2 linked regions of the Mus musculus genome follow. Each later gene encodes a partner of the first gene's protein in a complex. Links are inferred from orthologs where the notes say so. Each region holds a gene or a part of one and is shown on either strand. Other genes may lie near its edges.

What was found.
Region 2: Lsm5 (region 1) and Lsm6 share a complex: the UniProt entries of both Homo sapiens proteins name them as parts of the precatalytic spliceosome. The link is inferred for Mus musculus from reciprocal best matches to the Homo sapiens genes LSM5 and LSM6.

What each region holds. Positions count from the first base shown.
Region 1 is NC_000072.6:56,701,730-56,706,306, forward strand, and holds the start of Lsm5 (U6 snRNA-associated Sm-like protein LSm5), read right to left. Parts: upstream 2,971-4,577; 5' UTR 2,940-2,970; coding exon 2,894-2,939; intron 1,681-2,893; coding exon 1,585-1,680; intron 1,305-1,584; coding exon 1,277-1,304; intron 440-1,276; coding exon 367-439; intron 1-366. UniProt on the Homo sapiens protein: Plays a role in pre-mRNA splicing as component of the U4/U6-U5 tri-snRNP complex that is involved in spliceosome assembly, and as component of the precatalytic spliceosome (spliceosome B complex).
Region 2 is NC_000074.6:78,807,601-78,811,307, reverse strand, and holds part of Lsm6 (U6 snRNA-associated Sm-like protein LSm6), read left to right. Parts: intron 1-1,247; coding exon 1,248-1,361; intron 1,362-3,062; coding exon 3,063-3,097; 3' UTR 3,098-3,707. UniProt on the Homo sapiens protein: Plays a role in pre-mRNA splicing as component of the U4/U6-U5 tri-snRNP complex that is involved in spliceosome assembly, and as component of the precatalytic spliceosome (spliceosome B complex).

The sequences.
Region 1 (4,577 bases):
GCCAGTAAGGAACATCCCTCCATGGCCTCTGCATCAGCTCCTGCTTCCTGACCTGCTTGAGTTCCAGTCCTGATTTCCTTTGGTGATGAACAGCAGTATGGAAGTGTAAGCCAAATAAACCCTTTCCTCCCCAACTTGCTTCTTGGTCATGATGTTTGTGCAGGAATAGAAACCCTGACTAAGACAAGGACCAAAGCACTTTCAACAGCTGCCCTGAGGCACAGATCACCAAGGCTCCCTTCCCATCCTCAGTGTGTCTATCTCAGTGCCATGAACATTGCCAACGAAATAGAAGTTTAAGTCAGTTCCATAATCCCTACACTACAAAAGTAAAATAATTTCCAGAGAAAAGTTTTAATGTCTTACCATTGTTATATTATTTCCATTTAGTAGAATTTGATCTAATTTTGTAATTCTTCTTCCTTCTGGTGTAATTTCACTAAAAAGATAGATTAAATGGAGTCTGGATAAACAAGTAATCAAAGGCAGTATTAGAAACACTTTCCCTCCCTAAAAGTCCTACTGGGGTAAGGAGAATAGCTTGGTGGCAGAGCACACACACAAGGCCCTGGGTTCAATCCCTAGTGACAAAGCTGTTATTCTTACACATGATTCAATGTGAACGCATATAATTACAGTAAATATATACAGAATACAAACTGCCCATTGGATAATACTCATGTAAATATAATTCACCATAAAGCTTGTTCACACTAATTTCTTACAAATTCAGGAATAATATGAAGATAATAATCCTTTAACTGGACCTCACAAACACCAGTAAATAACGTTTCAGTATTAAGGTATTTTCCAACAAGTAATTTTTTTTATATCGATCATACTAAAGCTGCTATGGAGGTTTAAAGGAGAATGGCCTCCACTTGGTCCTCTGTTGGCAAACTGGAAATGATTAGGAGGTGTGGCCTTTTTTGGAGGAGGTGTATCACCCTGTTAGGCTTTGAGATTCCAAAAACCTAAATTATACCCACTTAGTGCGCTCGCGTTCTCTATTTACTTCTCTCTCTCTCTCTCTCTCTCTCTCTCTCTCTCTCTCTTGGTTATTATCTAACATATAAGCTCTTAGCTAGGACAGTCAGGGACTCTAACCATCTGAAACTGTAAGCAAGCCCCCAGTTAAACGCATTCTTCCATAAGATACCTTTGTCATGCTGTCTCTTCACATTAATAGAAAAAAGTAATCAAGGCACCATCTTTAATTAAAAAGAGATTTCCTCCCCTCCTCTCAAATTTTTTTAATTTTTTAAATACTACTCACAATTCTGTGACATCTTCCAACACCATATCTGAATTTAATGTTAAGAAAATAAATAAGGTTTATTCAGGTATATGTTTTTGTTTGGTTTAAAATATGTTCAACACTATGATAGTGCAAATTCAAAAGGTTTGTTGTTGGCAAGAGCCCTATCAACTGTCAGCAAACACACCTCTTAAAATACTACCAAGTTCCTGGAAAACAAAATTATTCTTAATGTAATAACCAGAAATTCTTCGGTTGTCTATAGTTCTTTCTTATATTAATACATCTTTAGAAACCTACACCATTCCCGCTTTTAAAAAGGATACTGACAAAGTCATCAAATCCTAGAAGTGTCCCGACAATTTCTTTATCACTCTTCATCACAATGTGAATTCTTGACCCTATACATTTGTCCACAAGCTCTGTGGAAGGAAAAGGGTAATTTTACCTACTTATTAGATCGACCAACATTTGAATGCCTACTTCACTTATTATTTTTTATCATTAAAGATAAGCAAAAACATTCAGTTTTTTGCTATTTATTTATTTATTTACTTACTTTTATTAATCATTCCATCTGTTTACATCTCAAATGATATTCCCCCTTCCTGGTTACCCCTCCACAACACCCCTCCCATATCTACCTTCTCCCCACTCCCCAATTGCTTCTATGAGGGTGCTCCCCCACCCACCCACCCACTCCAGCATTCTCCTTATGCTGTGGCATCAAACTCCACAGGATCAAGAGCCTCCCCTCCCAATGATGTCAAAAAAGGCCATACTCTCCTACATATGTATCTGGAACCATTCGGTAATTTTACATCTTACACAAATCTCTGTTTAATCGTTAGCACAAATGTTTGCCTTAGCTTTCACTTAACTCTTTATTTGCAATTAATAGGACTGTGATTTTTATTTAGATTATTTGATTAATGTATGAAAACACACACCATGAGGTGGGTGGAGACCATAACTGTTTTTCTTCATCAGTGTTTGTACCGATAAACAATATCTAACACTGCAAAAACTTTCAATCACAGACACATTCACTAAGCTCACCAGCCCCAAAACATGACAAGGGAGAAGCATTATTACAGACACCGGCTTTCCCGTCACTCCTTCTCTCACTTAACCTTAACTCTCTGTGCTCCTGGGCCAACCTGTTCATCTCAGCATCTTAGAATTGCTCAGCACGATGCGTGCCGGTGTGCGATCTTGAAAGCAATGGCTGTAATTCAAGTTCATTATTCAACAGTTCTCTGGCACTGCGCGGGAATTGCTTGTTGAATTAATGAACGACGGGGCTAGTTTCCAGATTTCTATTGTAAGATTCATTGTATGCCGTGGCGCACTCCTTACCCAAGCCAATACAGGGTCTACCTGATCTGGAGACCAAGAAGGCCAAGCTGAGAACTGGGACTGCGCGACTCATGACATCTTACTGGCGAGCTCAAAAAGGCCGAGCACGTCCTTCACTAAGTGGGACCCTCACCGACCACCGACAGGCAAAACGGTCTGTCTGTCTGCCCAGTGACGCCAAGGACCGGACAGCCGGGCCCGGAGGGGCGGTGGCCCAGCCTCGGCCCCCAGCGTGGAATTGCAGCAACCCGACCGCTCCCCAAACAAGACTTTTACCTAGTGGCAGGAGTTGGGACGGGTTCGTGGTCGCGTTAGCCGCCATGGCCACGCCGGAAGTGGCTAAGGACACCGGCGCAGACTTTAAAATTGCGCGCTTCCGCCCTTTTCCACAGCTGGTTCAGACAAGACTAATCCAAAGCCGATCTTGAGATCCAGAGGATCCCAATGGATCGCAGACAGATTCGATAGAGAGGTTCGGATCTCTATCCCTGCCACCAACCCAACAGGCACCTATGGTACCCCCAAGTTTTGCTAAACTTCAGAGATAATTTGCCGCCGGAAGACCAGCATACGAGATCTCTGAGTCGGTTAATTTTCCTCTAGAAGGTTGCATTTCAAGCCTGTATCTTTCTTCAGAGCAATAAAATCAATTTATATTTCCTACTATAAACTCGTTCTGCATGCTCCTCAACAACTACTCATTTTTTTTTTTTTAAGGAATCTGGTACTTTTAAGGCCAGAGGACTGAAAGTCTATAAAGCAGCATTTTTCACAAGCTTTTTTTTTTTTAGAAAAAACAAACAAACAAACAAACAAACAAAAAACTTCTACTATTATTTAATTTCTTCTTGTCGTTTCTAGGTGTCTGGTTTATTACAGGCATTAAAGTCACTATCAGTTTTCAATTTGCAGGCAACCGTAAGATGTCACTCTGTATGTTGACTCCATCATGTTTGGAAACCTTGCTATCACACTTCTGCATTGGAAAAGATTAAAAAGCCCCCTTTTAACGTGGAGTGGCCAGTAAACCCAACACTTGAGAGACAAAAGGAGGCATCTGTTGCAGGCATGGCCCTCTTAGACCCCGACACAAAATAAGAAATTAAAACTAACAAGGGCTAGCTGGTAGCTTGGCTATAGGGTACTTTCCTAGCATTCATGAGGCCCGGAGTTTGGGCCCTAGTGTTTTTTGTTTGTTCGTTTACGTGCTTGTTTTGTTGTTGTTGTTGTTGTTGTTGTTGTTGTTAAAGCAGATAAATACTTTGCCTTTGTCCATCTCATGTGACAGACTTAAAACCAAACAGCCTAAATATGAGAGATGAGCACCCTTCATTCCTCCATTGAAAAAACATATCAGTGGAATATTGTTTGACTAGCAGCTTGCTGGATACATAAAACAATGTTCAGAAAAGTCTTCAACCAAGAGAGTGGGAAGGAGGACAAATAGTACATTTCATGTGCACAGCACTATGGGATTTAATATGGAAAGCAATGAAAACTCAGCTCCATTCTCAATTCCAAGCCAGTGGTGGCTTTTTTTCCTCCACGCCCAATCTATAAGTCTTACAGATCTACTAGGTCCCAAGGCAATTACAAACACACTTGACAGCCATCCTTTTGAGGTAAGAGTCAGGATTAAGTTCCTTGTGCTTAAAACAAGTTAAAACACTGTCCCTTGGCCACAGCTTGAAGAACTGAGGAGTTGTTGGGAGTCTTCTCACACAGTGACTAAGAATGGGTAAGCAGAGAAGAGGCAAAAGCCGCATTCTGAGAAAAGGAAACATTGTGTGCAGTGGATGTGTGTCACTCCAAGCTTCTCTTGTTGATCTTGTCTTTAAACCATACCCATTTCTCCCACATTGAGCATAAAACACTTGCCTTTTCAAATCCATTTCCTGAGTAACCCCAGTCTTCACTCATTTTTTTTTCTATTTAACTGCATGATACTGCTCAATGTCCT
Region 2 (3,707 bases), on another chromosome or scaffold:
GTCTCAACTCACAAACAGTGAATAATAGTGATGTTACATTTTGAATGACCCTGTTGTCTAATTCCATATCATGCAGTGCAAGTTTCCTACTCGTCTCTGAATATGCTTTCAGTGTAGCATAGCAGAGAAGAAGCAAACTGGGAGACTGTCTTAAGCTTTCTTTGGCTAGGAAGTTATTGTTCTTGATAGTTGACAGTCCAGTCTGATTCTTTGAAAGTTTATCCCTTCTCATAGAATTCTGTTCGGTTAATGTCTTGTGCTCAGATTACACACACAGAGATTTGAAAAGAAACCTCTGTCTAGAGGATAATGGGGGCAGAGCAGAGAGCCAGGAGCATATTAATGAAGTTAAGATCTTAAATGGGACTATTGACTTAGTTAATTGAATTGAATCTGTGGTGTGTTTTTATTCTCTTTTAAAATATCAGTTTTGCTTAGAGATGAGAATTAGAAGCTTACTAGCTTCATCTTTTGAAAAAAATCTTCTGGTCAGATTTTAGAAATTTATGCCATCTTAACACGAGTAAAAATCCACCCGAGCTGTTTTCCTTGAAAGCTCCCTGGCATGTTTGTAGCCGTTTTTCTCTATTAGTTTTGATTTTAAAAATAGTCCAACTCTGACAAAACAGAATGCAGTGTGTTGTAATGCAATATGTTGCTCTCTGTTCCCAAGCTGCTCCTCGCTGAGAGCCACAGCTCTGAGATGGTCTCTCAGGAGCACCTGCTGTCTATTATCTTAACAGATTGTGGAGACTTCCTCTTCACCCTGGGTCCATTCATCTGCTGCAGTAGATGTTGTGAAAGACTGAGACAAACTGCCAGATCCCTATTTCACCGAGCGAGCGAGTGGCTGAAGTAACAAATGTCACCTCGATGGAGGCTCATTTGTCCCTGCATAGTTGCCATGTCTGTCCCGGGCTCCCATAGAAGGGCATTTTGGTTGGAATATTCTAATGCTTATACTTTTGTGAAGGCTTTCAAAGTTGCTGTGGTGAGCACACGTCCCAGGAGGGAGTGACAGTTGGCTGCCTGTCTTGTGGTGGATGCACAGCTCCTCTCATGCTCTGCCCGCCCAGCCTTCATTCACAGGGGCACCGAGGAAAGGCAGGCGCCTTTTGTGTTTAAGTCTATTGAGTTTTGTTTACAGTGTGAATTTTTATATTATGTGTCTGAAGGCTAATGAATAAAGTGATTGTCAGTTCTAAGATATAGCCTGTAATTTTGAATTCTGTCTTACTTTTCTCCAGGGGTCCTGGCCTGCCTGGATGGCTACATGAATATAGCCCTGGAACAGACAGAGGAGTATGTAAATGGACAGCTGAAGAATAAGTACGGAGATGCGTTCATCCGAGGAAACAATGGTAAGAGCTTCCCTTCCATTGAGTGTTCAGAATAGGCCGTTCCTGCGTGTAATAGGGAGCTGCGGGGCGTCTAAGTGTTAAGGTTCTCTTTACTTTTGCTTGTTTGTTGTACTTATATTTTAGGTCTTTAGTATAAACCAGGTCTGTTTGTGAGTGGGAAGAGGATTTTCCATGGAGGTTGGAACTAGAAATTCTCTTTCTCAGTTGCTGAGGGGTATTGGTATACTAAGCAGGCCCATTAGACCAGGGACCCAGAGGGTGTGCGGCACACAACCACATACTGTACTCTCGCAGTGCTGTCTGGGAGTGGAAGCCATCCTGTGCCACAAAACGCCCTTGACATTTAGCCTGTCCTTTGTCCTTTTTCTGTTCAAGATTTAGGTGCCTTTTGTGGAGCTTTGTACCTTTCCGTGTGTCAGAAGTAGGACAGAAGGCGTGGCTCTCAAGTTCTCTTCTTAAAAGCCTTAAAAGTTAGGTCTCGTTAGGAATTAAATATCCTGACTTTTGTAGACATACCTTGCTTGCAGTTCAGTAGAATTTCTTCTATTTCATGTTATTCTTACTTGCCCTCCTCCTTTTGCTTGGAAATATTATGCTCTTAAGTAGCCCCCATAGCAGGAGCCATTCCTACACTGACATCCACCTAGCCTGTCTGGTTTCCCAGGCAGTGGCTTTCCTCCTATTCTGATGGCTCCTACACTTTACTGCCATCCTCAGTAACAGGTGTCATTATTCCTACTACTTGTAGTTGGGTCTTAAAGAGGATCCTAGTTCACTTGATTGAAGTCTGTGCTGGACTCTTTGAGGAAACATCTACTGTTCACTTTGAACAAGCTTGTTCGTATCTGAAGATGTGTGGGATGGGAGAGGGAGGGTACACCTTAGGTGACAGCCTGACCAGAGCCCCTTTTGTCCTATCTCTGTGCAGCACACATTCCACTGTGCTAAGAATGACTGGCGAAAATACATGTTGGATGACACCAAAGGTTTATACTAATCTCAGAATAAGGACTTTGCTTTCTTAAAAATGTTTTCTCATTTTTTTCCTCCTATGGAAATTATCAGAGTAAACCAATTTACAGAGTAAACTGGGGAGATAAACGAAAATAATGCCATTTCTTTCTTTTACATTTTTTTCATGTGTATGAGTGTTTGTCTGCATGTCTGTAAGTACATCATATGCGTGCCTGGTAGTTGAGGAGGCCACACAAGGTCACTGGACTCCCTGGAACTAGATTTACAGTTGGTTGTGAACTGCTTTGTAGGAATTGGGGACCCAGCCCTGTTGCTCCGTAACATCTGCAAGTTACATCTGCTCTTAAGTGATGGGCGTCGTCTCTCCAGACACATGTGCTAGTCATTCTGAATGTGACACCTAACCTAACAGATCTGGCTGATTCGCCCTTTTCAAAACTTGTGATATAGCTATTTACAAATCATTCTTACATTTTAGGCACTTTCACTTTTCTAATTCCCAGTCATAATTTGTAAAGTCAGTAACATGCATAGATAAGACTAGTTATAATCAGGTAAGATGTCCAAGCCCGGTCTAGACGCAAAGCTTGTTTTATAGAGACCTTCATTGCATGGTAGAAACAGTCTTTTAAAGTGTTCGAGGTGTAGGCCAGGACCCATGAATGCCTTTAAAACTGAACCGATGCTGTGCCCCTCGAGTGACTGCTCGTTCTCTTGTCTTTCCAGTGCTGTACATAAGTACACAGAAGAGGCGGATGTGAAGACACCAGGAGGCAGTGCTCTTCAGAGATGGATAGATGAAGTGGTTTTGGTTCTCTTACCATCTTAGTTGGCCTGTTTTCATGGTGGCTGGTGGGGGTTTGTTTGTTTGTTTGTTTAATTGACATTGGAATAAGATAGAGGTATTGCATTACAGATCGACTCTTAAGTTTTTCACATTTATGTCTCAGTCTTTATCATTTCTGCCTGTACAGAATGCTAAAACTAAAACAGTTTGTTTCTCCAGGATTATTTTACCTAAGATTCCTGCCCTGTCATTCCATTGGTTGATTACGTATTCAGCTGACTAAGTGGTACATCCCGGAACCTGTGATCAAGCATTCTGGAGGCATCCTTTGTCTCTTTCTCTACTCACCATCCGTACCATTTAAAGCAGGTAGATAGAAAGTCATATGGTTTCAGCCTTGGGCTATAAAGGGACAAGAGGTCAGAAAATCAGCTGTTTATTTAGTCACCTAGTTAGTGGTGGTATCTCCACAAAGGAGTGCAACTGTAGAGTCAGGAATTGGAAAGGTCAGCCACGTGAGGTGAGACACTGCCTGGAAGCCTCCTGTGCAGTTAGACTCTTCATGTTAACTTGCTCCCTGTTGA